4 linked regions of the Tamandua tetradactyla genome follow. The protein of the gene in region 4 interacts with the protein of the main gene of each other region in a pairwise test. Links are inferred from orthologs where the notes say so. Each region holds a gene or a part of one and is shown on either strand. Other genes may lie near its edges.

What was found.
Region 1: the proteins of AP2B1 (region 4) and NUP54 interact in binary tests that used the Homo sapiens proteins (3 or more experiments, as listed by UniProt). The two-hybrid records come from large-scale screens. The link is inferred for Tamandua tetradactyla from reciprocal best matches to the Homo sapiens genes AP2B1 and NUP54.
Region 2: the proteins of AP2B1 (region 4) and CLTC interact in a two-hybrid assay, tested with the Homo sapiens proteins (2 studies listed by BioGRID, with this or other methods). The link is inferred for Tamandua tetradactyla from reciprocal best matches to the Homo sapiens genes AP2B1 and CLTC.
Region 3: the proteins of AP2B1 (region 4) and SLC25A6 interact in binary tests that used the Homo sapiens proteins (3 or more experiments, as listed by UniProt). The link is inferred for Tamandua tetradactyla from reciprocal best matches to the Homo sapiens genes AP2B1 and SLC25A6.

Annotation. Positions count from the first base shown.
Region 1 is NC_135350.1:52,982,798-52,989,886, reverse strand, and holds the start of NUP54 (nucleoporin p54), read right to left. Parts: upstream 3,002-7,089; 5' UTR 2,835-3,001; coding exon 2,768-2,834; intron 1-2,767. UniProt on the Homo sapiens protein: Component of the nuclear pore complex, a complex required for the trafficking across the nuclear membrane.
Region 2 is NC_135332.1:40,809,600-40,817,422, reverse strand, and holds the start of CLTC (clathrin heavy chain 1), read right to left. Parts: upstream 3,012-7,823; 5' UTR 2,854-3,011; intron 2,844-2,853; exon of another isoform or gene 2,635-2,843; 5' UTR 2,568-2,634; coding exon 2,526-2,567; intron 1-2,525. UniProt on the Homo sapiens protein: Clathrin is the major protein of the polyhedral coat of coated pits and vesicles. Two different adapter protein complexes link the clathrin lattice either to the plasma membrane or to the trans-Golgi network.
Region 3 is NC_135353.1:173,458,190-173,465,415, reverse strand, and holds SLC25A6 (ADP/ATP translocase 3), read right to left. Parts: upstream 3,008-7,226; 5' UTR 2,924-3,007; coding exon 2,813-2,923; intron 2,223-2,812; coding exon 1,736-2,222; intron 1,310-1,735; coding exon 1,169-1,309; intron 641-1,168; coding exon 483-640; 3' UTR 31-482; downstream 1-30. UniProt on the Homo sapiens protein: ADP:ATP antiporter that mediates import of ADP into the mitochondrial matrix for ATP synthesis, and export of ATP out to fuel the cell.
Region 4 is NC_135332.1:46,155,816-46,163,365, reverse strand, and holds the start of AP2B1 (AP-2 complex subunit beta), read left to right. Parts: upstream 1-4,535; 5' UTR 4,536-4,631; intron 4,632-7,550. UniProt on the Homo sapiens protein: Component of the adaptor protein complex 2 (AP-2). Adaptor protein complexes function in protein transport via transport vesicles in different membrane traffic pathways.

The sequences.
Region 1 (7,089 bases), on a different chromosome or scaffold from region 4:
GAAAGTGAGAAGAGCTAAATATACTTCTGACACAATCTGTCAACTATGACAGAAAAATTTCAGACAGCTACATATGAATGAAATGTTAGTTAATCTACAATAGTTTCACGTGTTTTTTTTTTCTTTCTTGTCAGTCTTTAGCTGATTAGCAATGTGGTACCAAAAAGACTTTCAAGACAAATGTTTGGAGACCCTGCTTACTCTGAGTTATGGAGCAGATTTTCTGAGAGTCTAACCATCTTATATATTTCTAGTACACAAGACAGAGATTCATCAAGACTGTAACATAAAAGATATAAGAAAAAACCAACCTTTGATTGTAAATCATATAATTCTGATTAAGGAAATTACTCAAAAGTAGACTGTATGTGGCATGCAGGGATAACCAAATATCCTATTTATCTGTAGGTCCTACTGCAGGGCTGCAAACTGTAAACATTTTTATAAAAATCACCTCAAGTATTAAACCTTGTTCTTAATCTTTTACATTAATCCTCAAGTTCGTAGGATAAGATATTTTCTAAATTGACTTCACAATAAAGATATCAGTCACTATATTATCTTGTCCACAATACAAGAATATTTGTTATAGCTGGTCTACAAGAGTACAAAATAAAAACGTAAACAAGAATTTCTATCAGCCATTTGCAAAAGGTTAGGTTAATTAACATACATAAAAGTAGTTAAAACCGTTTCATTGCCACAATATAAAACATAACACCAAATGAAGAATGAAATCAAGCAAACAACAGGTTTATTTATATTTGTTGAATATGAGCTGGTGGCTTTACTCAGAAACAAATTTCAAAATAATGTTTCTGTTTTACCCAGTGCCAATTTTAAGCAAACAGGGAAAAGTAAACATACTAAAAGACAGGGGCATGTGATCACTTCAAATATATCTTAAAAGTAATCATTCGTTTTATCTTTGCAATTTCAAACACCCTTTAAACTGTTTTCAACTCAAACATCAGCGTGATATTCAGATAGCAGTAACAAGTGAAAGCTCAAAGTAGCAAACCTTCCAATAAATTTTAGAGAAGAACCTTTACCAAATGCATATAATTGGCATGGGCATAAGTGGCATAATGTAGGAGAATATGGACAGTAAAATTCATATACGAGCAGCTAAGGAACAAGATTTTTCTATAGGGTCACTGTATGTAAACTGCGTACACAGACCTACTTTAAATTTACACAATCCATTATAGTTTTTGTTTTGCAAAATTTTTAATAGATAGCAAGATCTTCACAATGATCTTTTAGAGTGCAAAGATGTCTATCCTATCTTTTAATATGGTTCAATACTACCTGAAAATAAATTTAATAATTCTAATTATATCACCAAAATCCAGTAAAGAATTATACAGTTACATATCTTACAAAAGTGTATCCTAATCTGTAGAGTTGACTACAGAAATATATTATTTTTAGACAGGTTAAAAAACCAGACAGGTCACTGCTGTTCGTATAAGACTTGTTTCCCTTGGGAAACAGAAAGACAATCAAATGAAGTCGAAATGAAAGACGAAAAAAAAATGAAAAATGACTGCAGGAGTCCAAGAATCTCTGGAAAATGGGCCTAAACGGTGAGTTTACACTTTGGCAGATAAATCTAATAATTCGGAAGATACATTCAAAATAATAACCCATTCCAAATTCTTGTCATTTGGAAGATACACTCAGTTCAATTAAGTGCAAATTTAAGAAGGGAACTTCCCAGAATCTTTGAAGATTCAACAAGACAGTTAAAACTTGATACAAATGCTTTTTTTTTTTTTACAAATGGTTTTAATTAGACATTAGGAAATCAATTTCCTTTATTAGACAAGTCACTGTTCTGTTCTGTTCCAAATTCTAGGAACCACGAAACATTCTTGGACTCCAGCTCCCAACACTAGTCACACATACGACCCGCAGTATCTACCTGCACTTGCCAGACTGTTACCAAAATTGAATGGAGGCGCCGAGGTAGTAGAAACACCGAAATTCCCAATATTAAAGTTCACTGCAGGATTAGCAGTTAGTCCGAAACCCCCAAAATTAAACCCACTGGCGGCGGAGTTGGCAGTCTCAAGCCCACCAAATCCTGATAGGCGTGAAGGCAAAGAAACAAAGAAAACAATTTTTAAGGAGAAAGAAGAAAAAAAAAAAGGAAAAGATAAGAATTAGAAGAATCAGCAGGTTTCAGAGAAGTGAACAGAAACAAACCTGACTGCTCCAAATGAGTTAAGAAAGCACAGGAAGTGGGGAAGAGCAGGAGCAGCAGCGTGAAGACCCGTAGGAAGGACCAAGGACCAAAGGGCTCGCAGCGTAGGCACCTGCCTGTTCCGAACTGATACAGAGGGAGCCGCAGGGCAGCGTCCGGAGCTACCCAAACCTAGCTTCATCCAGTTCGGCTGCGGGAGCCACGAGAGCTTTCCCGCCTGTCCCAGAAGCTAGGATAGGGAGGGGAAGGCGGGTCTCAAGCAAGGGGAGAGGGGAGTCTCACGGAACGGGACTCCCCGGCGGCGGCGGGAAGCGCACCTTGGAAAGACAGGGCCCTGGGGAGACCCACGCACGGAGCACGAGCTGCGGGTTGGACCTCTAGCCCCTCGGCGGCCTCCTCAGGAGCCGCCTCCGCCCCTCCACTGCCGCCCGCCCTTTTCCGGATGCCCCCAAATTTCTCGCGGGCGGGAGACCGCAGGATCCCCCAGGCCCGAGGAGGGGCAAGAGGGCCCGAAGGCTTCCTCGCCTCCCCAGGAGAAGGTCGGAAGGGACCACTCACCCGCGGGAGCCGCGGGGGCTGCAGAGGTGCCCGAAGTGCCCGAAGGAGCTCCAAAGTTAAAGGCCATGTCGCGGGAGTCAAAGCCCAAAGCACTCTTCCCGGGACCCTCCGTGCGCACGGTTTTTCGGTCCGGCTGGGAAACCGCCGTACAACTCACAGAGTTCCGCCTCCTTTTTGGCCCAGCCTTAGAGGCGGGATGCGCGAAGGGCGCAGGGGTGGAGGGTCGATAGGAAACGCCCCTAGTTCGGCTAGAGGCTTTGTGGCTTCACACCCGGCGGGTCCACGTGACAAAGGTAACGCGTGGGGAAGCTCGCGGGAGCGTACCCACTGTTGACCCTGTCTTAAAGACGTTTTTTGAAAAAGGCATGCAACAGGCTGAAGTTGTTACCGTTGAGATATGCGGCGGGCTTCTTAGAATACGCGTGTTTGGTGGTAGGGGTCGAAGATGTCCTGTCAAAGAGCGGTCCTAAGAGGACCTGGGTTGGGGTCGGGAAGGCCCCCTCTGAGGAAGTGGTGTTTGAACCCAGTCTAGAAGAATGATTAGAAGAAACAGAGGTAGGAAAGAAATGGTATGTTGAGAGAACTTAAAGATAATGGAAATAGTAGCAAACACTTCGTTGTGTTTACTCGTTAGGCACAGATTCTAACCATTTTACATACTTTAATTTAATTTAATCCTCAACTGCCCTGTGAGATAGGTTATTATTACCCCATTTTCGGGAGGAAGAAATAGACACAGAGGGACAGGCTGGATCCAGAATCTGTGCTCTTAACCTCTAAGCTGTAAAGAGAACACTGAAGTGAGGGGCAGAGTGGCCCTCTGTGAGGCACCTGCACCATCTAAGTACTTAAATCTGTGCCGTTGCGTTCTACTTGAAATAGTATTTAGTCCTCATATTATTAACGTGATTTCTCTGTTATTAACGTAATTTCACAGGAAATGGGAGGACCGGGGTTTAAAGTTGCTAAGTAGCTTGGCTAAGGTCGACTTGTTGGTGAATTCTAGCCTAGGTAGTTGTTTTTGGTTTTTTTTTTTTTAATTTTTTTTTATTGTACAATATAGCATATATACAAACCAAAGAGAGAAAAAGGCAATAGTTTTTAAAGCACTCTTCAGCAAGTAGTTATAGGACAGATTCCAGAGTTTGTCATGGGCTACTATACCATCGTCTAAGAGTTTTCCTTCCAGCTGTTACAGAATATAAGAGGCTAGAAGGAATAAATGTTTTTTTATCATCACAATCAACTTTTTTTTTCTTTTTTGTGAAAAAAATATATACAGAAACAATTTCAAACCACAGTACAATTAGTTGTAGAACAGGTTTCAGACTTTGGTATGGATTACAATTTCACAATTTTAGGATTTTACTTATAGCTACTCTAAGATACTGAAGACTAAAAGAAATATCAACTTAGTGATTCAGCAGTCATATAACTTGTTAAACCCTACCTTCTCTATATAACTCCACCATCACCTTTGATCTTTCTATCCCAATCTTTAAGGGTGTTTGGGCTTTGGCCATTCTAACTTTTTCATGTTGAAAGGGGCTGTCAAGAAAGAAAGATAGAGGTGCCAAGATGGCAGCTTAGCAAGGTACGGGGTTTAGTTCTTCCTCCAGAACAGCTAGTAAGTAGCCAGGAACACTACAAAACAACTGCTGGGGCCACTTCAGTGACCAGACACACAGCGTACCCCAGTCTGGACCAGCTGGACCAGTTGCAAGCCCCCCCAGAACCGTGAGTCCCCCAAGCTGCAGTGGTCGGCACCCCTCCCCAACAGGCTGCTTCCTAGGGGTGAACAAAAGGAACGTTACTTTGCAGCAGAGGCTGAGCTCAACCAAACTCCAGTTGCTGAATTAATTCACAAATTCTGACTACTAAAAATAGGGCCCTAGCTCAGGTGAACCTCCTCAAAATGGAGGTTGCTGATTTTTGCCCTGGCTCTGAGGGGGCAGGGGTGACTGAAAAAGGAAAAAAGAAACAGAGGTTTTTTGGATCGGATAGCATATAATACTTGAAGGGGTCTGGGCCCTGAAGGAAAGGAGGGGGCACATAGAATCTGAAGGTACACAGTCAACATACCAACTTATGCTCTTGATTGGCAAACCCAAGAAATGGGGATCCTGCTCTGAGAAGGATTTTTCTCTTTCTTTTTTGGGGGCTATGTTCTACAAAGACTTGACTGCCTTTGGATACAGCAGCAGGGCTTCTCAGGCTGCAACAGCCCCAGGCATAGGCATAAACAAGCTTGTTTTAGAGCTTGTCTGGAGCCTGTGCCTTCCCTAGGAGAGGGGAGGGGCCTAGCTCAGGTGGATTCCCTCCCTGAAAGAATTCAGACCCCAGGGGGTTGGAAATTTGAGGTGATTAAAGCCATCCTACAACCTCTCCACTGTCTCTGCCATGCCCCCAGCAGGGAGAATCTCCTGAAGTTAAAGGTACCACATCACCTTATGCTGGTGGGACCTGCAGGCAGACAAGCACCACATACTGGGCAACATAGGAAAAACACAGAGTCCAGAAACTTCATGGGAAAGTCTTTCAACCTGCTAGGTCTCACCCTCAGGGAAAATCGAAGCAGGTGACTCTTTCCTCCTGATAGGAGGCCAGTTTGGTCTGGGAAAATCTGGCTTGGGTCTATTATACCTAAGTAGACCCTCCTAAGATGTGGGGTGGGCGGGGAAGGCACCATACAGGCAGGGCAAGAAACAAGAAAACAAGAACTGAAAAATTCTCCTCTGTTGAACAAAACCTAAGCTAGAGGTCCAGAATAAGCTGAACTGAATGTCAAAGAACAGATAGACAACAAATTCATCCAGCAAGAAAATCCTAGGTAAAAGAAGTGAAAGCAATCTCCAAAATAAACTAATTAAGGTAATTAAATGCCTAGATGCCAGCAAAAAAAATAACGAATCACACAAGGAAAATTAAAGATATGGCCCAGTCAAAGGAACAAACCAACAATTCAAATGAGATACAGGAGTTGAAATAATTAATTCAGAATGTTCAAACAGACGTGGAAAACCTCATCAAACATCAAATCAATGAATGCTCAACTTCCCTGGCTATTAGGGAAGTGCAAATCAAAATCACAATGAGATGGGCGGGCCATGGTGGCTCAGTGGCAGAATTTCCGCCTGCCATGCTGGAGACCCGGGTTTGATTCCCGATGCCTGCCCATACAAAAAAAAAAGCTATAATGAGATATTATCTCACACCTACCAGAATGGCCATTATCAGTAAAACAAAATGACAAGTGCTGGAGAGGATGTGGAGAAAGAGGCACACTTATCCACTTTTGGTGGCATGTCAAATGGTACAAATGCTGTGGAAGGCAGTCTGGCGGTTCCTCAGGAAGGTAAGTATGGAATTGCCATATGACCCAGAAATACCATTGCTAAGTATCTACTCAGAGGACATGAGGGCAAGGACACAAATGGACATTTGCACGCCAATGTTTATAGCAGCATTGTTTACAATTGCAAAGAGACAGAAACAGCCAAAATGTTCATCAACGGGCAAGTGGCTAAACAAGCTGTGGTATATACATACGATGAATATTATGCAGCTTTAAGACAGAATAAAGTTATGAAGTATGTAACAACATGAATGGACCTTAAGGACATTATGCTGAGTGAAATTAGCCAGAAACAAAAGGACAAATACTATATGTTCTCACTGATATGGACTGACATTAGTGAATGAACTTGGAGAATTTCAGTTGGTAACAGAGACCATCAGAAGATAGAAATAGGGTAAGATATTGGGTAATTGAAGGTGAATGGATACAGATTGTGCAACATGACTGATTGTAAAAACTCAGAAATGGATAGTACAGTACTACCTAACTGTAATACAATTATGTTAGAACACTGAATGAAGCTGAATGTGAGAATAATAGAGGGAAGAGGGCTGGGGGCACAAATGAAATCAGAAAGAAAGATAGACAATAAAGACAGATGGTATAATCTAGGAATGCCTTGAGTATATAATGATAGTGGCTAAATATACAAATTTAACAATATTTCTGCATGAGGAAGAACAAAGGAATGTCATTACTGCTGGGAGTTGAAAATAGATGGTAATTAATATTTTAAAATATAATTTAAGTGAGACTAAAGCAAAAAATATATATTTGGTACAAAATTTATATTTTGACTAGTGCATTTCCTATTATAACTTATGTAGATAGCTTGATTGAACACCATAAATACTTGGAATCTTGGGTAGGGCATGAGATTTTGTTGGTTTGTCCAGAGTGATGCCCCGATGAATCCCAGAGTGATTTGATCAGTGAGTGGAAAAATATTTGCATCGGGGAGTGG
Region 2 (7,823 bases), about 5.3 Mb from region 4:
TTTGTTCACTGCTATCAGCCTAAACATCCTTTTAAAAAAACAAAACAAAACTTCCTGTATAACTTAGAATATAAACATTCATTCAATGTAGGTCCAAGCTTTGATTACAGATTCTTCACCTGGTCAATATAGGTAAAGGCTATAAAATAGGTTCATTTGTCTTTTGAAACTTTAATAAGCTAAAACTCTACACACAAGTTCCTCATTTCTTGTTCCCAGTTTTTATCTTTAAGAAAGTTTTTTTGCTACTTAGCAATAGAAAGACGCTCAGAGGTCAAGGACCAAAATTGTTAATTAAAATAAAGGAGGAGATAAAAATGGGAAGTCAGGAAATATATTATCCTGGAAAACTTCAGTGATTTGAATCTTTGCAGTTAATGTCAGCTGGAGCCACAATCACACTAAACTTAGGCACTATGTATCTCTCAAAAAATGGATAGCTGAATTTGAAGTATATTTGCAAAGCTACTTTATTCTCAAAATCTTTGAGTAGAAAATGGCTTCACTCAAGTATCTGCAGAAACATGGAACCACTTAGAAATCAGGAGTGTATCTAATGTCTTCAAACAGCAGCACAGTTGGGATTCTAATCTCTAAGGTCACTTAACAATTCTCTCCTTAATAAAAATGAAAAACTATTACACAAACTACCACCAGTCAATGAAGAAGATGTGCTAGTGGGCTGTACCCCTACCATGTAAAATAAACAGCAACTGTACTTGTTTCTCATATATGGTCTACCAAACATTTGTGTGCAAAGTCATGTTTCAGTCGTACTTCAGTATAAGGATGAGCTGTGTTTTCACCTCACACTCCAAAACAGTATTTTTCTAACCCTCCACATTTATTTACCACCCCACTTTTAGAGGTAACCACAGTAATTAAACTTGGATTGAGAATGAAAAGTAACTTCTCCATGTCCATCTATCACTTAATATTTTTGTAATCTTTTGTAAAATAGTATGTTATTGCCAATGTATATTCTATTACCTCAGATGAGTTATTTGCAAACTATTGATGACTGAAGAAAGTGCACTAATTCATTTGATGTGTAAAATTTTATTGTTCATTACATTTCAAGTCTTAATGGAAAAAAACTGTTTGCTGATGCAAGTAAATGAGAACACCTGTAAAGAAATATGAAATTATGTTACTCATAGCCTGAAAAATAAAACTTTTATTAACAAGGATTCTTTATGTATGCTATAAGAATGAGAGAAAATAAATAAAATTGCCTTCCAATGGAAAAGTGTCCAACAGTTTACTAAAATTAGTGTATATTCTGTACCACTGTGTATTCTATCACTATGAAACTAGTCTTTCTTCAGAAGACTGACCTGGTTTCTTTAATAGGGTATTTGGGAAGTCAGCAAGTTAGTATGAATGAATTATTTCAGCCAAAATGAACACAAGTAGAAGCAGGATTGGTGAACCAGGAAGTCAAAAGCTCTGAAAAGAATTTCATCTAATCCACTAAAGGATCATCTGCCTCCACTGCCATGGGCATGATGCCAGATAAGACAACAGTATGTGGCTTTCAGAATAAGGCATAGTCAGAAGAATTCTGTAACCTACCAAAGGGCAGTCAGTTACAGACCCTGGATATCTTGAAGCAGGTATGCACTACCCCGAGGGCTCTGTTCCATTCCATGCAATCCTGGAGGAGGAATTAATGAGAAACCACAATATCTGCTAAACTCCAGCAGACCTCAAAATAACCTCCAGATAACTCCTTCTAACCTCCTAAAACCAAAAAGAGGCTTAAGTGCCACACCTCACCTAGAGAAAATGAGAAAGAGGGGGGAAAAAAGGCTAAATTCCCCTAGGAACCTTGACCCTATGCACCCTGAGATAGACACCGCCCTGAGAAATACGTTTTCACATTCTACACCTTCTGTGACCTTCTGTTCCCACTGCCTCGCGGAAGGCAAGGAAGCCGCGTCTCTCCCACCGCCAGAAGGTACCTCTTCCCTGTTAAGAACCGCAAAGAGAGGAAGAAAAAAAAAGGTTGCTCCTCCCTAAACCACCCGCCCCACAACTCCAAGGTGCAGACACCACAGAGGAAAGGGAGATGAGCAATGGAAGGTGACAGCACTGCACTGTCCCAGGAAGTGATGAGAATCATTGCCGAAAGAGTAACGCGGAATAATCTGCCTCATTCCCCCACCCCACCTACCCAAATGAATGAACTGAATAAAGGGCGGGGGGGAGGGGAGTGGGGACACGCAGTTCTTGCGATTGAGGAAGCAAGACAGACAGGCCCTGGGAACCAGGCCTGGCCTCATCGCCCTTTGCATCCCGAATCTTGTCCTTTCCATCCAATCCCCAAATCATTTCTTAAAACCTTTAAGCTTTCCAAGATAGCGTCCCCTCCTCCATTTACTCCACGCTCCAACATCCCCCACCCCCCACCCCCACCCCTCACCACCGACCCAACTCTTTCTGCTTTTACGCCCACTCTACAGCTTCTTCCTTCCTTTCTACCAACCCCTCCGCAGCCCTCACCAGCCGGGAACCAGACGCACCTGGAGATGCTCCTGAAAACGAATCGGCAGAATCTGGGCCATGGCGCTGTCGGGGGATATGGTGTCCTCCTGTCACTGGGGCTGTAGTGCAGCGACCGCCCGGACTCTCCTAGGGAGAGGAGGAGAAGGGGGAGGGGAATGCCGGGTTCAGGAGGATACTCTCCCGGGACACAGGTAACTGGCTGGCAGACGAAAGAGCTCGGGTCGGGGGCGGAGGTTCCAGGGGCCGGGAGAGCCGCAATGGCGGAACCGAGCGCAGCGCAAACTCCGGAAACGGCTGAGCCTTGCGGAGGGATCCTGGCGACAGAACTCCTCCCAGTCGACTCACCCCCTCCTCCTTATGTACCCCTCCACGGAGTGCGACGGCACAGCACGGCGCAGGAATTCCAGGCGCAGTGCGCCGCGCTTCTCATTTACTGTCGAGACACTAGGATAAATAGAGGAACCGAGGGGACTACTTTTTTAGACTCATCACTTTCTCCAGCCCACTCCAATTCCTCCCCCCCTTTTTTTGCATTTTGCCACATCATGCGACTCGGGATGATCGACGTCACTTCCGTGGGCGGTTTGGGTTCCACCCACGTACTTCCGGGTGCACGTGATATTGTTAGGGAACGGTCTGCAGATAGCGGTCAGTACGGAAAGTGGGTTCTGGGGGAATGCGGCTCTTTGGAGAACGAGGTGGCGGTTGGTCCACCTTGAAGAAGTACGGGTGCTGCTTCCTTTCGTTTGGCACTCTTCTATTTAAGCTGGGTCCATTAGGAAGAGGACGTAACGTGGGTACATGGGCCCAACCTCCCGCCTTCCCCGTGACTCAGGAAAACGTCCTTGCAGGGCGCTCTTGGCAGCTTGCTGCGGCACTCCTCCCCCGCCTAGTTTCATATAGTAGGTGGTGTCTTATTTCCCCGGGAGCGGGGGTAGGGAAAATGAAATGGGTTTTTAAATCCCTACCCTTATACACACGCTGCTTTGAGGTTTGGAGAAACTGACGCGCGCATTCTAACTGGAACCAGTATTCTCCTTGGGTGTTAATTGGCTCAAAAGACAGTGAAGGCCATTTAGAAGTTTTCTCAAGCTGGCCTTGTAATAGTTTTTCTTACCGTTTCTGCGGACGTTTTGGCGGACATATATCCTAGTTTGGCAGTCAGTTTGTCGTTAAAGAGTGTGAGTTTCATAAATAACCTGGAGGACTGGACAAAAAATTGTAGCGAAGGCATTTTTTTTTAGCCATATCAAATAATTTTTTAGACTTAAGGATTTAGATAATTAGGCTAAGGATGAAGAGTCTTCCTCGATGTAGTTAATGTACACTCTTGGAAGAAAGGGATTAACTATAAGCCGTGTATTTCGGTAGGGCCACCTCAACAATGCTTGTAGGTTAGCAGTGTTTGGGAATTAAGCGCTTCAGAGCCTTAGCATCGTTTCTTCTCATAAGCATTAAAGCATCTGTGGCGTTCGTTATCCATTAATAATATCCTTCCCACTATTTTATTGCTGAAGCATAAATTGTAACGATATTTCGCAATTTCACCAATACAGTAAAGGGTAAAATTATTTCGTCCAGTGCATTTCAAGTTTGTAAGAGATGTATTTTGTTTTGTTTTCCCAGAAAAAATCTTGAGGAAAAGCTCATTTACACAATTATCTTTACTACTATTTTCAGTTAAAGAACACAAAACCTTATCGGATAAAAAATTTTGGTTTGAATATTAAGCAATATATAGAGTGAAAAACGTTTCGTTAATCGTTTTAGTAGCGTCTAGCGTTTTGCCCAATATACTAAATAGCTCCCATACTGCAGATGAGATGAATATCTTTGGCAGGTGAGTGAGCAGAGACTGTTCTGCAAAGAAAAGCCTTGCCATCATGTTGTAACAATATTTATGCTTGGCAAATTTCATTTTGTTTTGTTTAAATCGTTGAATTATGCTCTATTCTGCAACATTTGAAAGGACCTAATACTAGTCTAATATTAATCTGCTTTTAAATCATTTTTGGAAATAGACAAGTTTTAAATTAAAATTTTTTAATTCCAAATTTAAAAGGGAGTTTTATTGCACTCAAATTGCACTCAGCAGTTTTATCAAGTTATACTTGCAGTCTCATAATTTTGTTATACACGGAGCTATGTATCATATATTGGCTATCATTTTTTATTTTAAGTACATTTAGAATCCCCAAATCATTGATTGTATCATAGATATTTGGCATGGAATATCTAACCAAAAAGTACACTGAGGTTCTGTTAAAGTGACTGCTGTGTTATCATCGTACATAGAAATCTAATGAATGCATTGTTTTCAGAAATCACTTAAAAGAAAAAAATAAAATTGTAATCTAACATCTCACTTTGTAATATTTCAGCTCATATCTTTCAAAACAATAAATTCAAAGTTTTTCAAGAGGAAAAAGGTCCAGATGGTAAACATTAAACAAAAACAACTATTCCTTTTAAAGATCTAATTGGAGTGGGGGGTGGGGGGTGGGGAGTAATAGGAGATGCTTCATTTGATAGTATGATCTTGCTAATGGTGTGGAGGCAGCAGTTAGGTGAATCGTTGGATTAGAACCCAGAAAGGCTGATAAATTACCTTAGCACCCCTGCAAGGCATTGTTTTCAGGCACTACATTAAGCTAGAAATGAGAATAGATAACCTAACAAATCAATGAACACAAACCCAGCTACCCTGATTTTTTTTTCCAACATGACATGGTCTTTTAAAGGACTATTGCTGTGAATGAATTAACACCCCAGACTTCTGGTTCCATAAAATGTTTTAGTGAGGTAGCCATGTTAATAAAATAGATGGTCAAGTTCTTTCTATCAGAAGTTATTTTTATCAGAATGTTCATAATAGTAGGTACGTGCTGTGAGCAAGTGCCATTACATTAGCAAAACTATATTGGTTGGCCTCTCTATCTCTGTCTCTCTGTCTCTGTATTTGTGTGTGTGTGTGTGTGTGTGTGTGTGTGTGTGTGTGTGTGTGTGTGTGTGTTTTGTAGGAGTCCTCTGAAGCTATTCATCTTTAAGCAGCTCTGCACTAAGACCCGTGCCTTTTACATTGACATTTTAAAAACAGCTTGCGCTAGCTGCATTGTGAAAGTCACAAAAGCATTTCTCAAACATTAAAGATTAAAGCCAAATTTTAAAATTAACCTACTATTTATGAGAATTCAAATTCTAGTGAAACCAAAGAGATGTACTTTATAGCAAGCAACATCCAAGTAAGATAAGTGGTTTTGACATTTAAACAACAGCTTTAAACATCTCAGCCCGCTAGGGCCACTGATAGGAATCCCACCAGGATTAAGCGCAGTCTCTATCTTTTCAAGTAAAATAAATGTTATCAAAGGCCAGTGAGAAAATGAATATCCCTTCGGCTCAGGTATCATCAACATACAGTACCCACAGATTTTAACCCTGGACAAGTCATTGAACAAAGGCAAAACTACCCCACCTCACCCCACAAAAAAAGAATAAATTAAGCATTTACAAGCAAGAAAAAAGTTGTAATGGCCTTTTTATTTTAATACGAAAAGAACCTCAGCATATACTCTTGACCTCATTCACTACTCAGGCTTGACTTAAACCTAATTTACATCAAGTTTTACAATGTATCATGGACAGCAATAGGATCTATAGGGAGTCTTTTCTCTGTATAGGGATTAGATATGTTCCCAGTCAAAAGTCAAGAATAGCCCTGTGGGGAGCTAGCCTGGAATCTAGGCTCATTGTTTAGACCCCTCCTCTATTTTTGTATAGGTTAAATCAGATCCCAGCAGAGGGTTGAAGTAGCTCATAACATTACCTTAAAAAGTCATCTTGGAAAGTTATCTACATCAATACAGATATCTACATAGAATTATGGCCCTAATAAGTGAGTTGCCAAGTCACATCCAAAAACAAAATTACAAGAAACTTGAAAGGATCTATAGAATGAAAAGGCAATTTCACCCAACTGATAGTGGCAACTGAGGGTGAGGCTGTGGGAATGATTGTTACGGAGTTTGGCGGGTTTTTTTCTCTTTCTCTAAATATGTAGAATGGCCTCTTTTCACCTCCAAGAATTATTACTGTCCCCAGTTGAAAGCAAGGCATGACCCACAAATATGTACCTTCAGCAATTGTGAAATTTTACCATACCATTTAAAGATAGTTCTGCCAGTAGCAAGGCACATTTTCAGCCTTATTATGTTAGTAACCTCAGTTCTTCAGAACAGAATGGTTAAGAATTGAGATTGGTAGACAAATTTTTGGCTAACAATAATAAAGTTCCAAGAATAGCTAATTTACTCCTTCAACATTTTTTAAAATGCTCAGTGTAAAAATTTTTGAAAAGGCCTTTTGTAAGTAAGTTGTATATGTGAAAGTAATTCTGAATCTTGAAGGCCTCAGGTTCATCACTGTGAACAGTTTTTATATAGTCATCCTGAAAATGTAGAAGCCCAATCTGAATATCTGCCAATCCTAGAACACATTAGAAATTATTTTTAACACCTTATTTCAACCTGTCATAACTGATAAAAGTGGTTTATCTAAAATAAACAGAAAACCTGGTTGTTTACTCTTCCTGTTTGCTCATATACTGAATAACTGAGTTTAATGTAGTACAGCATATAACCATACAATTAACTTCATTCCACAACACACCAGTGATGAAAAATATGTAATATTCATATGAGGCTGTATTTATTGATTTAAACTCTGGTTTTTCCTTTTCTCAGTTACCATGATAGCACCAAGAGTCATGAAAAGTGTTTTAGGTTAGTTCCACTGATCATTCAAATATGAAGATTTCCACATAGTGAAAATAAGAGCTAACCTGATGCAGACAATTCTTACAATCTCTATATTTTAGTTACTATCTAACTGAGCCACTAGATCAGATGTGGAGATGAGAGCATGCTCATCATTACTAAGGAAGGCTTATAAATTCTGTTTCTTTAAAAAAAACTAAATGAAATAGCAGACTTGCATACAACATCCAACTGTAAGTAGTAGACATAATAAAAGGAAAATCCCAGTCCAAGCAGAACTTTCAAATTTTTCTATCTGCAAAAATAAGTGGCACTCAAATTATTCTTCATTTGACCTACTTAGAGTAAACCCAAGTTACAAACGGGAAACTTTAAAACTTGAAACATAGAGGCTTACACGAAATGAAGTCAGAAGAAAATGAGAGTCCGTAGAGTCATGATAGAAAATATTGGGTTATCAAGGACTGTAACTCAATTTTTTAAAGTACAGAACATACTGTGTTCTTTCTTTCCTTTTTTTTTCTTTTTCTGTGTGATTCC
Region 3 (7,226 bases), on a different chromosome or scaffold from region 4:
TGGAAAGAAAGCGAGTCCACACCACACCTCTACGAGTGTCCTGCTCATTTATTATTTTGCAGCACAATGCCCAACGTAAAACATAATTGCAAATGTCCAGCTGTGCAAAAGGAGATAGTGCTTAAGTACAAATAGGAGACATGATTTCTTTTTAAATAAATACTTAAACACCACGGAAGGTCCTACAAGCGTTTGGACTCGAGGGTTTCTAGGTCTGTGTAAGCTGAGCTGCCTCACCCAGGGACCCACGATGGTCAGGATTCCCCTTCCCTGCCCCCTAGTAATCAAAAGATGGAATCAGCAGAGCCAGTGGTCCAATGTAATCACAATGATCCCCTTTTCTAGAGCTTTCCCTAGCTCTCTACAGAGTTGATCTGCCTGGGTAAAAACGATAGGAATTTCTCAAAGGTCAATGGTCCATAATGGTTAAGGAAGGATTCTACATGATTCTTGGTTCCCGATTCTAGTTAAGACAGACACACTTAGATGACCTTTTTCAGTTCGTCGTACAGAACCAGCACGAAGGCTCCACCCATGCCTCTGAGAACGTTCGACCAAGCACCCTTGAAGAACGCTTTGCCACCTTCATCCTTGAATATCTTCCTCCAGCAGTCGACAGTGCCTCTGTACATGATGTCAGCTGCAAGGAGAGTTAGGGTGTAACTGTTAAGTTCCTCGGGAAACAAGCACCATGCAAACCAAAGGGACTTTAAAGCAGTAAAACCCCACATGGCGATGTCTGGACAACTTGAAAACTCAAGTTTTGGTCACAGAGGAAAACAGGGTCCTTCTGGAGAGTTCCAGTGCAGAGGCCTTAGCCCCGTTTTCGCCATTCCCACTCAGAACCCCAGGTCCAGGGATGACAGACAGGAGCGGGAGTCAGTGAAAGGAAGGGGAAAGAGGGGTTCAGAGACCGTCACCTCAAGAAAGGAACACCTGCCAAGAAGAGAAGCCTGTTCGTAACAAGAACGCCTACTTCAGGTCTAGGCTACTTTGATAAAATATTCCCCAAAACTTTTTTTGGGAAGTGTGTTCTTTGATCATTCTGGGCCTCATCAGGATGGAGGCAAGAAGGCAAATTGAGCAGCGCACCTCTTTTTACTTTCCACACATGCTTTAAGAAACGTGCGTTTGCTCAGCATGGAAGCGGAGTTGAAAGACAAGGTACCTCCTTTGCGTCCAGACTGCATCATCATCCGCCGCCTCACGGTGTCGAAGGGGTAGGAGACCACGCCGGCGACAGCTGTCACCGTCTGGGCAATCATCCAGCTCACCACAATGTGGGTATTCTTGGGGTCAGGGAGCATACCTACGGAGGGACCAGCCAACGTGAGGCGTCATCACACACAGTCACGTGCTTGGGAAAGGCAGCACTAGAGTTTTGCAAAGCCCAAAACTTTGCAAACTGTTTTGCAAAGAACTGAAGCCCGTGGGTCCAGAGGGATCAGTTCCCAGAACCACCTAATTTTTACAAAACTTGGAGGACTCAGGACGGCTTTCCTGCAGGGTCCGTCACCCAAGCAGGACGGGAGCAAACAGCCTAGTGCACATCACAGCATGGCAGTCGCAGTAACAGCTCCCGTCCCAGATGCTCAGGTTTAGAGCCTAGGGACGCCTCTCTAGAACAGGGAACTGTGGTCTTGGGAATGGCTACCCCACACACCCCGTTCCTTAGAGGAAATGTCAAACGCTTCCACGTGGAAGGTCCAGGCTCCCGACCTTCTCAGCAGCTTACCTTTGGCTGTATCGTACACGCCGAAATAGGCGGCCCTGTAGATGATGATGCCTTGTACGGACACGTTGAAACCCTGGTACAGGCCTCGGACGCCGTCGGACTTGGTGATTTTCACCAGACAGTCTCCCAGGCCTTTGAATTCTCTTTCTGCCCCCGATTTCCCAACATCGGCCGCCAAACGGGTTCTCGCGAAATCCAGCGGGTAGACGAAGCAAAGGGAGGTGGCTCCGGCGGCCCCGCCGGAGGCCAGGTTGCCGGCAAAATACCTCCAGAACTGGGTGTGCTTGTCGACGCCGCCCAGGAACACCTGCTTATACTTATCCTTGAAGGCGAAGTTGAGGGCTTGGGTGGGGAAGTAGCGGATGACGTTGGCCAGGTTCCCCCTCCAGAAGGAGAGAATGCCCTGCTCCTTGGGGATGCGGACGATGCAGTCCACGATGCCCTTGTACTGCTTGTCCGCCGCGATCTGCTTGCTGGCGTGCTGGACCTGCAAGGGAGCGGGCCAAGGATCGCGAGGGCGTTCCCGGACCACAGACGCCGCCTGCGCGTCCTGGGAGCCCCGTTACAGGGCATGCATACCCCCCGGGGGCAGCGTCCTGCAACGGTCCTCCTTGCCGCGATCTCGAGAAGCCCGTCGTTGGAGCCGGAGGCCACGACGGGCTCCTGGAAGCAGTTTCGCCTGCTTCTGGACACTTGCACCATCCCTGGGGCAGGATTCCGGGGGGCGCAGCTGCACGCAACCCCTTAAAGCAACAGGAGGGAAAAGACCCCAAGGGCCTGGGACACGCAGCATTTTAGGGGGGAGCCCAGCGGGCTTGGAGACGCGCGCAATGGCAAGGTCAACCAAGGTCAAGCCCATCCCCCCCCCATCCAGGGGGCCCGGGGCCGGTCCCGCCGCGCGCCCCCCACGTGGCCGGCCCACGGGCCCCGGCAGGCGGCGGCCCCCACGTGCCCCGGGCTCGCCCCGCCCACGGAAGTGTCCCGCGCGCGGACAAAGCGCCGCGGCCTCCACTTCCGGCGCCCGCCTGCGCCCGGCCCTCCCCGGCGCGCGGCGCCCCCGGCCCCGGGCCGCCCCACCTGCAGCAGCAGCTTGACCCGCTCGATAGGGGCCACGGCCGTCTTGGAGATGGCGGCGGCGATGCCGCCCGCCAGGAAGTCCTTGGCGAAGGAGATGGCCTGTTCCGTCATGGCTGCGGGGCCGGGTGCGAGCGCGGGCAGCCGGGAGGGTCGCGCCGCCGGCACCGAAAGGACGCGGCGCCCAGCGCGCAGCCGCTAAGGCGCCCTCGCCCCGCCCCGCGGGCCCGCCCCCAGCGCCCATTGGCCGCGCCGCGTCGTGCCACGCCCATTCCACGCCCACTCCCCGCCCCGGCCCGCGCGCCGCGGGATGCCGGGAGCCGCGTCACCGCCCCGCTCCGTCGCGCTCATTGGCTGCGCCGCGCGCCGCGTCCCGCCCCTTCCGGCCGGACGCGCCGCCCCGAGGTATGCCGGGAGACGCGCCTGCCCATGCGCCGTGCGAGCCGGGGGGCCGCGGGGAGGCCGTGACCTTCTCAAGGTCACGGGGGAGGCCGCGCGGGACGCAGAGAAGGGGCCCCTGAGGGCCTCGGGACCGCCGACGACGGGGCCCGTCCGCCCACACCCAGGGGAGGGTGCCGGGGCTCGGGGCCTCTCCCTATCGCTCCCGCGCCCCGCCCTGTCTCTCTGCGGAACCCCTGGAGGGTGGGGCTCCCTCTGCGCCTGCGCCCCCGGGAGGGTGGGGGTTCCCCTGACTGTGCGCCCCCGGGAGGGTGGGAGCTACCCGACTCTGCGCCCCCGGGAGGGTGGGGCTCCCTCTGCGCCTGCGCCCCCGGGAGGGTGGGGGTCCCCTGACTCTGCACCCCCCGGGTGGGTGGGGGTCCCCTGACTCTGCAACCCTGAGAGAGTGCGGGTCCCCTGACTCTGCGCCCCTGGGAGGGTGCGGGCCCCCGCTGACTCTGCACCCCTGGGAGGGTGGGGGCTCCCCCTGTCTCTGCGCCCCTGGGAGGGTGGGGGCTCTCTCTGACTCTGCGACCTTGGAATGGTGGGGGCTCCCTCTGACTCTGCGACCCTGGGAGAATGGGGGCTCCCTTTGAGCCTGCACCCCTGGGAGGGTGGGCTACCCTCTGCCCTGTTCCCCCGTTAGAGTGGGGGCTCCTTCTGAGCCTGCACCTTTGGGTTTTCCTGCACCAAGTACCTGGAGGCCCAAGGCAGGCTGTGGAGCCCCCCCATGGTCCTCACGGGCAGGTCCCAGGGCCTCCAGCGTGGACACTTTTTCCTCGTCCCCTGCAAGGCAGTGCTGAGATTTGGGGGCTCGGGGAAGAGCAGGCCAGGCGCTACCCGGCCTGCCCCTGCACAGGCACACCCAGGCATGCCTGGGAATGCTCTGACCTTTTTGTTGGGTTTATGGAAAACTGCCCAAGACCCACGTGTGTCCCATGAGCTGACTTTCCACAGGCTGAACCCTTCCGTGGGACCAGCCCCGAGGTCAAACAGCCCCGTCAGCCACCCAGCAGCAAAGCCCCACCTTCCTGCCTCCCTGCACCTTTCTTTCTCTTTCCTCCTCCTTTGCATCCTTCCTCTCTCTTTCCTTCCCTCCCTCCTTTGTTCCCTTCCCCCTTCTTTTTTATCTTTTTTTTTTTTTTATGGCCAGTATGCCCGGCAGGTTGACCCACTGAGTGGATGGACGCATGGAAGGGACCCTCTTTCTGGGACTTCCATCCCATGCATTCCACCAGCTTGCAATGTCCTTGTCCATTCCAGCCGGCTTCGACCCTTCCCTATAAGGCAGATAAGGAAAAGGGCTTGAGGCTGGCCAAGTTCCAGAGGCCCTGGGGCTGGAGGAGACCAGCTCGGACAGTTTGGAGGGTCAAAGGGTCTGGCCTGGGAGAATTGCCGAAAGGAAGCTTCCAGCCCATTCTTCCACAAAATCAGCCTGTCTGGGCTGGGAAGGGCCCAAGAAATTACTCATTCCCTGGTGAGCCGGTGGGTCCCAGGAGCGGGGCCTCTGGCATTACCTCCAGAGCAAGCCCCGTGGCCTCTGGAGTGAGCGAGAGTGGAAAGTTCCCCTCAAGCAGGTGGGGGCGGAGGAGACGAACCCGGCCCCTCCTGGGGATCGAAGGTGGCGGCTCTCGTGGCTGGCTGGGATTCAGGACACGCTTATCCATAGAAAGCGCTAACCCGTGGAGTTAGACGTACACAGGCCCCATTTGCCCTTCTCGAAGGGCAGTGGGAAAACTCGAGAAACCCGGAACTTGGGAAAGAAGGGTGTGGGGAGACAAATACCTGTGGGCTGGTGGGTCACCTTGAAGAATGAAGCTCCCTGACCTGAGAGTGGGGACAAGGAGAATTGACTGCCTAGGAATGCTCACTCCTCCGTCTTTGTCTACTGGGTTGTATTAAATAACTCATTTAATATGAGGAATGCTTAAATATCTGAAACATTTTGGGTGTTCGCTGATTGCTCCAAATGTGCTGAGCGTGGGGGAGCCCCGTCTTTGGTGTATCACCTCATGCCCAGTGCAGGCCCCTGACGGGGACCGACCTTCCAAGGGCCCCGGGGAGGGCTGCAGCTCTCCTTGCACACGTGGTATCTTAGGGCTTGTCTGCACCCCTTGCCACAAAAAGAGAAACCCAGAGGGCAGTTTTCATTCACTGGCATGCTGAAATAGAATGACCCTGGTATGCAGCTGGAATATGCAGAAAGAACACAGAAGGGATGATTTCCACCTCAAGGGTGGGGGGTCAGGTCAGCCTGCCAGGTGCAGGATTCCAACCTCGAGGTCCCTTTTGGGCTCTAAGTAATTAAAACCCCTTCAGGACACATGGGCACAGGTACATGGACACATTTCTTCTCAGGGTCCCCTCGCTATTGTTTTTTGCATGTCGTTCCTAATAAAAACAGAAAGATACGTTGTGTCTGTCATGCTTTCTCTTGGTTTTTTACAGTTTTACCATAAAAAATTCAAGAGGGAGAGTGTGTCATATAATGCCCCCCCCCCATGAGCCCTTTATCCAGTATCCAAGATGGTGTCACTGGTTACTTTCCAACTTCCCTTTCTTTGAGGGCCAGCCTGGGGGACGCCCCACATGCACCAGCCCCCAACCACCTTCTCCGGACAGGACCAACCCCGGGACCTGAGGTTCTCTCCAGACCTCCAGGGAGCCTGTGCCCTCCGCTCAGCAGAGGTGCCGCCGCCTCCAGGAAGCCTTCTGGGGTCTACAGTCGGGGACACACGGCTTCCCAAGGACCAGATGGGGGTGTGGGGCATGGCCTTTAGGGACACTCTCTGGGGGCTTTTCCGTGAGGTCCCCGGCCCCCAACCCAATCCCCAACGCACCCCCAGACCCACCTGTACCCGCCACACACACCCCCTTCCTAGTCCAAGTTGAATTTCCTTCCTCTTCCCTCCACCTTCATGATTTGCTTTTTATTTGGATTCCACCAAAATTACAGACATAGGCAATCAACTGTCATATTTATATAAAATACATTTCATAGGCACATATTAATTCATATAGGTATATATATAACTTTTTTCTTTTTTGGGGGTGCATGGTAGGGGAGCCGAACCTGGGTCTCCTGCATGGAAGGTGAGCATTCCACCCCTGAGCCACCCGTGCGCCCCAGAACTATACATTTCTATAAACTATGTCCCATGGTGGTTTTTAGCAGGAAAACGACTGAACCATTAGTGCCCACCAGATAGGAGCTGACAGAGCTACTACCCAGACTAAGGTCTCCAGTTCTGATGTATCCTTCCAAGCAACCATCCGTGCACAGGTTGCTACATATTTACGAGTGGACAAAAGAGTTTGTACACACTTGCTCTGGTAAGAAAAGCCACACGGCTGAAACATAACCCAGGCTTCCTTCCCACAGCCCTCTGATGTCTACATTAAGGAGATTTGCAGCAGAAATAATCTGAATGCCGCAAGCCACGCGTCCCGGGACCCCTTTGCAGACTCCCCTGCTCCAGGGATTCGGTCTCACGCGGAGATTGCTGGTGAAAGTCTGCAGGGAGCAACAAAACCTCCTGGCGAAGGGCTGCAACCAAAGAGGACTGGCGCGTGCACGGCAGGAACGTGCCAGAACCTTTGGACCCAAAGGTGGCTGGCTGGATCGTGAGAAGCTGGCAAAGGTCCGGCGTGGGAGAAAACGGCATCTCAGAAAGGAGCTGCGCTTTCCAGAAGACCCATCTCGCCTGCTCTCCTGGGTGAGTTGCTGTCCTTATGTTCAGACACGGTGGAATGTGGGGAGACACAGCTTCACCTCACCATGAGGCTCTGTGGGCAGAACCCATGCAGAGACGGGGCAGTGCCACTGGCGGTCGTTGTGAGGCCCCGTGCAAGGCAGGTGTGTGAGATTAGAAAACACGACTCGAAGTATCCGAGTCCCAGCCGGTCCTCGTTACAGGTGAATAATTTTCTTCGACTCATGAAAATTTACCTGTAACCCCCACATCGATACCCGTGGCAT
Region 4 (7,550 bases):
TGTTCCTCCTGTTATTTACTTTTAATCCATATATTTTTTACCAGTTTGTACATACTGTAGATAAAAGGAGCATCAGAACAAGGTTTTCACAAACATACAGTCACTTTGCAAAAGCTATATCATTATACAATCATCTTAAAGAAACATGGCTACTGGAACACAGCTCTACAGTTTCAGGCACTTCCCTCCGGTCTCCCTATTACACCTTAAACTAAAAAGGGGTTATCTATATAATGCGTAAGAATAGCCTCCAGGATAATCTCTCGACTCTATTTAAAATCTCTCAGCCACTGACACTTTATTTTGTCTCATTTCTCTCTTCCCCCTTTCAGTTGAGAAGTTTTTCTCGATCCCTTGATGCTGAGTCCCAGCTCATTCTAGGATTTTTTGACAGCCCTTTTCAACACACAAAAGTTAGAAAAAGTATAGCCCAAATATCCCTTAAGATTGGGAATAAGATCAAAGAAGAAGATGGAGTTATAACAGAGAAGATAGGATTTAACAATTGAGTAAGATTACCAAATCATTATATTGGTATTTCTTTTAGTGTTCAGTGTCTTGGAGCAGCTAGAAGGAAAAAACCTTAAATTGTGGAACTGTAACCCATACCAAACTTTGAAATCTGTTCTATATCTAATTGTCATGGTGTGCTATTATTCACAATAAAAACATGACCATCACTTACTGGGCATCTGCTAACTAGGTGCAAGGGACCATGCTGGCAACTAATAGAGACTGAGTTTACATAGCATTCTGGTGTCAGCATGGCTAAATGATTATGCCCATTTGTCTACCCAGGCAAGCACTGGCCTGACCGTTGTTTCAAGGATATTTCATGGATGGTTGATAAACTGGAAGACTGGTGTATCAAGTCATCAGTGAGTTGACTGCATTTGTGGCTGATTACATCTGCAATCACCTAAGGTGTGTCTCCCACAAGAAGATAATTCAATCAGCTGAATGCTTTTCAGTAAGAAGAGAGACTTTTTCACGGCTTCTTCAGCCAGCGAGCCTCTCCTGTGGTTTCGTCCAGACCCTTCGTCAGAGCCGCCAGCCTTACAGCCTGCCTTATGGATTTTGGACTCTTCCATTTTCATGGTTGCATGAGAGAGACATCTTTATAAATCTCATATTTACGGATCTCTCCTGTTGGTTCTGTTTCTCTTGAGAACCCTCACTAATACACATGGCTAGTAAATGTAGGATCTGGGATTGAAAGCTAGGCCTGTGTAACTCAAATGCTCCTACTCCTTCTTCTTCAAGTTTGGGATTCTGAATTGCTTGAGAGCTTTCAAAATTAGAAATGTACGCACCAAACAAAAGTGAGGGGTAAGGGGTATGGTATGTATAATCTTTTTTTTTCTGTTATCGTTTTATTTCTTTTTCTGTTGTCTTTTTATTTCTTTTTCTGAATTGATGCAAATGTTCTAAGAAATGATGAATATGCAACTATGTGATGATATTGAGAATTACTGAATATATATGTAGAATGGAATTATATGTTAATGTTTTTGTTTGTTCTTAAATTTTTTAAATAAATAAATTTAAAAAAAAAGAAAAGAAATGTAAGCACCTCTCCTTTTTCTCCCCAGTCAACAGGAAAAACAGTCATTTGGACAGGAGTGCTAGAAACTGGGTGGTTGTTGCCTCCTTATTCTTCATCAGTGTGCTGTGGGGATCAATTCAGTGGAAGGCAAGATGTGGAACTTGAGAAAAGGGATCTTCATTCTTCATATGCTTTAGTTAAGTCACCTGGACGTAAGTCATTACGCTCTAGGCCAGGAAGGACCTCATGTCTTGGCTCTAATACTTCTAAAGCAAATGTTCTTGATGCAAAACAATTTGAAATTGGTATCATGGACACTGTTTATTTCTGAGGCCTTGCAAAAGTTATCTTGGGAAAAAAACAAGTTATCTTGGCGTGCCGTTGGTGATTGGTTGAGAACCAGAATCACCAGTTAATTTAAAATGTATTCATTCATTAAGCATTTCAGTTTTTTAATAGAGGCAGTTACAGCACAATCCTCATGTGCACCAGATATGAACTGCCAAACACCAGCCAAAGGGGAAAAATTGGTATCTTGACTCTCAGGTGACTCCATTTCATCCTTGATTTTCATAAAGATGATTTGAACAGTACAGATAGCAGTGACCAAGAGCAACAACCCTGCCTCACCATGCCAGTTTTTGACTTTGGTAAGTTACTTAACCTTCATTCCTTCTTCCATTCAATCAGCTACTTTTTGAGTACTTATGGTGTTCAAATCCTAGCACATTTTCTAGCTGAGACTTCGGTTAAACTAATTTAAGCCTCAGATTCCTTCAGTGTAAATGGAAAAAACAGTTATGCCTCCTGCAAAGACTTCTTGTGATAATGAAGGAAGATTATGCACACAAAGAGCTTAGCATGGCGCCTGGCATAGAATGTCAGCCTGTCTTTCATTACTCAGTGATTACATATTTACTATGTTCCAGACATAGTGCTTATGCTCTGGGGCTGCAAATCAAAATAACTGACTGCCTTCTTTGGGCCAAAGATGAACTTTCATTATCTTATATCCTCACAACAACTTACAAAGCATGCATTATTTTCATCATTCTATGAATGAAGAAATTGAGTTTAGGGAGGTAAAGCTCAAAATTACACACTGAGTAGTAGCAGAGATCGGATTTGAACCATGATCTACCTGATTACAAAGCTCGTTCTGCCACACAGCCTTACTGCTAGCCAGAATAACATGTACTGTTCATAACTTAGAGAGGGAAAACATGCAGCAAACGACACATCACGGTACAACATATACAAAGCAACATCACTGAACCCTCTGTATACTAAGCCTTATTCTCAATCAAGTCTTATAACAGCTCTATGAGGTAGATGTTAATACTATCCCCTTTATAAGGAACGGAAAACTAAGGAACAGAGAGAGAAGTCCTTGCCTATAGTCCATGCGAATAATTACCACTAAACTCTATTACCACTCTGAAGAGCTAGCAATTTATAAACAGTGGCTCTGGGTGTTCTGAGGAGTGACAATAACGTGCTTGTGAAATCAGAAAAGATTTCATAAATGAGATGTTATGTAAGCTGGAACCTGAAGTAAGAATGTTTGAGGTTGAGGAAGGAAGACAGGGGAAAAGGATGAAGCAGGTAGAGAAAACAGCATGTGCAAAGGCACATTTTCTTTAATGTCTAAACTCGCCTATCTTTTAAGTACAAAGGAGGTCCTTAGAGGATCTGGTACAGAAGACACTTCATTTTGTCTCCTTTCTTTTTATTTCCTCATGTCCTATCCACCCCTATCCTCAGGTTCCCTTTCCTATCTTCCATCTCTCCATTTCCAATACTACAGTCCTAATTTAGAACTATCACCTATCACCTAGACCACTGCAATAGCTTCACCTCCTTTCACTCTCTTTCTCCCTCCAATTCATTAAAAAACAGTTACAGGTTGAGTTTTCTAAAGTACAGCTCTAATCACCTAACTCCTTGGACTCAGAAATCTTTAATTCACCCACTTTCTTCAGAGTGGTCTGAACTACATAGCCAGCCAGCTACCTTTCTTAACAAAGCCTTGGCCTGTCTTTCCAATCTCCTGCCATTTCCTTCCTTTAACATTGCCATGGTCCTCAAACTTTGGTGTGAATCAGAATCACCAGTGGGTTGCTTATTAAAAATATTCATGCCCAGGCCCCGTTAAAATATTTGGTTTAGTAAATTCGAGTTGGTCATTAGGCATTTTTGGTTTTGTTTGCTCGCTTGGGAGAGCTATGAGACATCTGTAGTGTTAACAGGCTCTTTCTGGTGTTCCTACCTCAACAAATTTTAAGAAGCATTGCACCAACTGTATCAACTTTATCTAAAAACTGATAAGCCTCCCGCATTCTTTCTTATCTAATTTGGGAGTCTATTTCTTCACTCAGAAGCTCATTTTCAACCTCAGCCCTACCTTCCATACCTAGATCAAATGCCACTTGTCCTAGGAAGTCCTCCCTCCTCTCCTTCGCCCGTTGATATTCATCTGCACCTTTCTTAAGGTATCAATCTCAACCTTTCGCTTATTTAGGAAGGGCCCACACTCCGGACCATCCAAGGAGTTCCCCAGAGCAGAAAGGGCCATCTTAATCCGTGCCCCCACCCCAATTCCTAGTTCTCAGCGGGATCCTGCTCAAGAGCAATCTATACCGTGGGATGACTGTGCATCAATAGTTCTTCCCGCAAACGCTTGGAACATCCTAATACAACGAACCCGCCTCAGATGCCCTTCCCAAGATACCGGCAAAACCTCTCAGACTAACAGCTCAAGATCGGAGGGACTGGAATTGTTGGGGGAGTTGGTGGGTGGGAAAATTGCTCGGGGCAAAAAAAGCCACCCATCTGGCAGTCAAGACAGATCCCCCGACGCCAGGAAATGACGCAAAAAGCGCCCACTCCACCCCGGGCTTTTGCCTCGGCCTCGGATTAGCTGCTCCTCCCGGCCCCGCTTCAAGGACCTAAGTCACGTGACCCGCTGTTCGCCGCGCGATTGGTTGTCCGATGAGGGCCGCTCTGGATTGTGGGTTCGGGCCGGCTAGTAACGTCCAGCTGAGTGGAAGCGTGGGAGGCGTGCGTCCGCGGGTACGAAATGCTGGTGAGTTCGGCTACTGTTAGCCTCCGGAGGTCCTGGCAGGCCGCCTGAGAGAATCTGGGGCTTAGAAATTGAGATAGCGCGCGGCAGACTCCCGCGTGGGTCTTTGGTTCGAGTCCTGGCTCCAGCCTTATCGCGTTTCCCCTAAAGGATGGCTTCTTAGTCTTTACTTGAAGTTGGCGGGATTTGGACATGATTTATATTATTATTTATTTCTTTGAGGGCGCTGGGCAGAACGCCATAAGCTGGATGCTGGGGAAAGGGCCTGGAGAAGCTTGAAATATGGTCCCTACTAACGTGAAATGTTTGAGGTAACTCGGCCTTATAAATTGTGCTGATGCTTTTATAATCCGTGAGTTTAGGGTTTAGTAGGGAGGATCGCTCAAGGTTTATTGAGTTTTCTCCTATGTGCCAGGCACCGTCCTGGGCACAGTGGTTGTAAGGACCAGTTAAACACGGTCCTGTTTTTTTTAGGGAACTTTGATGGGGCTGGGGGGAAAGGCGGGAAGACACGTGGATAGTTGGTTTATGCTGGGAAAAAAAGTGCTGTGGTAGTCAGAAAAGGGTAACTGAGGGAATTAGGGATTATTTCATAGCAAGGTGATATTTGAATAAATTTTTAAAACTATAATATGTTTCCAGATTAAAATGAGTGGGGAGGGCATTCCAGTTGGGAAGAAAGTGTGCAAAGGCAAAAAACTAGGAAAGTATACCCGATTTGTGTGGTTGGAGCATGTGGTGGATTTGCCCAGAAGCTGAAAGGTAGGGGTATATTTTTAAGGACCTTAATTCCCTGTTAGTATGTCTGGATCTTAAAATACTCTACGAAGTGAAATAGGTATCACGACATAGGTACAGCAAAGTGCTTTCATAATTCAAAGGAAGGACAGATGTTTCCTGCTGGACTGATGGTGAAAGGCTTCATGCATTTTAGAGTTATAAAGGGTGAATTAGTATCCGAGTACAGGAAAGGTTTCTATGGAGGGGAAGGGCTTTCTAGAAGAAGAGAGCAAGTTTGAGGATTTAAGAATAGTCAATGTGGTTTGGTCGGCACATGTTCGAGTTATGGTATTTAGTTAACTATAAATTTGTGTCAATTTTGAAACATCTTGAACACTGGGCAGAGTATTTTGGATTATATATTTCTTGCATCATGGGGAGCCATTAAATGCTACCGAGTAATGACATAATCACACCTAGGTATTTTTTTTAAAACTTTTTATTGAGAAATCTTCACATACGTACAGTCCATCCACAATATACAGTCATTGGCTTATAGTATCATCATGCAGTTGTGTATTCATCACCATGATCATTTTTAGAACATTTACATCACTCCAGAAAAAGAAATAAAAACAAAAAACACAAACATCGCATATCCCTGACCTCTCCCTCTCATTGACCACTAGTATTTCAGTCTACCCAATTTTTTTTGCCCTTTTTCCTCCCTATTTATCCATTTGGTTTTCCTTATTTTTTTTTTTTCACATGTGCAGGCACTGGGAATCAAACCCGGGTCCTCCTGCATGGCAAGCAAGCATTCTTGCCTGCTAAGCCACTGTGGCCCCCCCAGTTTTCCTTATTTTTTTATTTTATTTTTATTTTTTTATCAAATGGCAATTATTTATTTATCAATTCCAACAAGTCCATCCTGAGTTTCTATTATCTATTTTTTTATTAATTAAAAAATTAACTAACACAACATTTAGAAATCATTCCATTCTACATATACAATCAGTAATTCCCAATATCATCACATAGATGCATATTCATCATTTCTTAGTACATTTGCATCGATTTAGAAAAAGAAATAAAAAGACAACAGAAAAAGAAATAAAATGATAATAGAGAGAAAGAAATAAAAATAAATAAACAAACAAACAAAAATCTATACCTCAGATGCAGCTTCATTCAGTGTTTTAACATAATTACATTACAATTAGGTAGTATTGTGCTGTCCATTTCTGGGTTTTTGTATCCAGTCCTGTTGCACAGTCTGTATCCCTTCAGCTCTAATTACCCATTATCTTACCCTATTTCTATCTCCTGATGGTCTGTTACCAATGACATATTCCAAGTTTATTCTCTAATGTCGGTTCACATCAGTGGGACCATACAGTATTTGTCCTTTAGTTTTTGGCTAGACTCACTCAGCATAATGTTCTCTAGGTCCATCCATGTTATTACATGCTTCATAAGTTTATTCTGTCTTAAAGCTGCATAATATTCCATCATATGTATATACCACAGTTTGTTTAGCCACTCGTCTGTTGATGGACATTTTGGCTGTTTCCGTCTCTTTGCAATTGTAAATAATGCTGCTATAAACATTGGTGTGCAAATGTCCGTTTGTGTCTTTGCCCTTAAGTCCTTTGAGTAGATACCTAGCAATGGTATTGCTGGGTCGTATAGCAATTCTATATTCAGTTTTTTGAGGAACCGCCAAACTGCCTTCCACAGTGGTTGCACCATTTGACATTCCCACCAACAGTGGATAAGTGTGCCTCTTTCTCCACATCCTCTCCAGCACTTGTCATTTTCTGTTTTGTTGATAATGGCCATTCTGGGTTTTCCTTATTTTTTAATTCATCTGCCCATATCCTGGATAAAAGGAATATCAGACACAAGGTTTTCACAAACACATGATCACACTGTAAAAGCTATATAGTTATACAGTCTTCAAGAATCGGGGTACTGGTACAGAGTTCAACAGTTTCAGGCACTTCCCTCTAGCCACTCCAATACACCATAAACTAAAAAGGGATATCTATATAATGCATAAGAATAACCTCCATGATAACCTCTCAACGTTATTTGAAATCTCTCAGCCATTGAAACTTTAGTTTCTCTCATTTCTGTCTTCCCCCGTTTGGTCAAGAAGGCTTTCTCATTCCCGTGTTGAGTCCTGGCTCATCCCTGGGT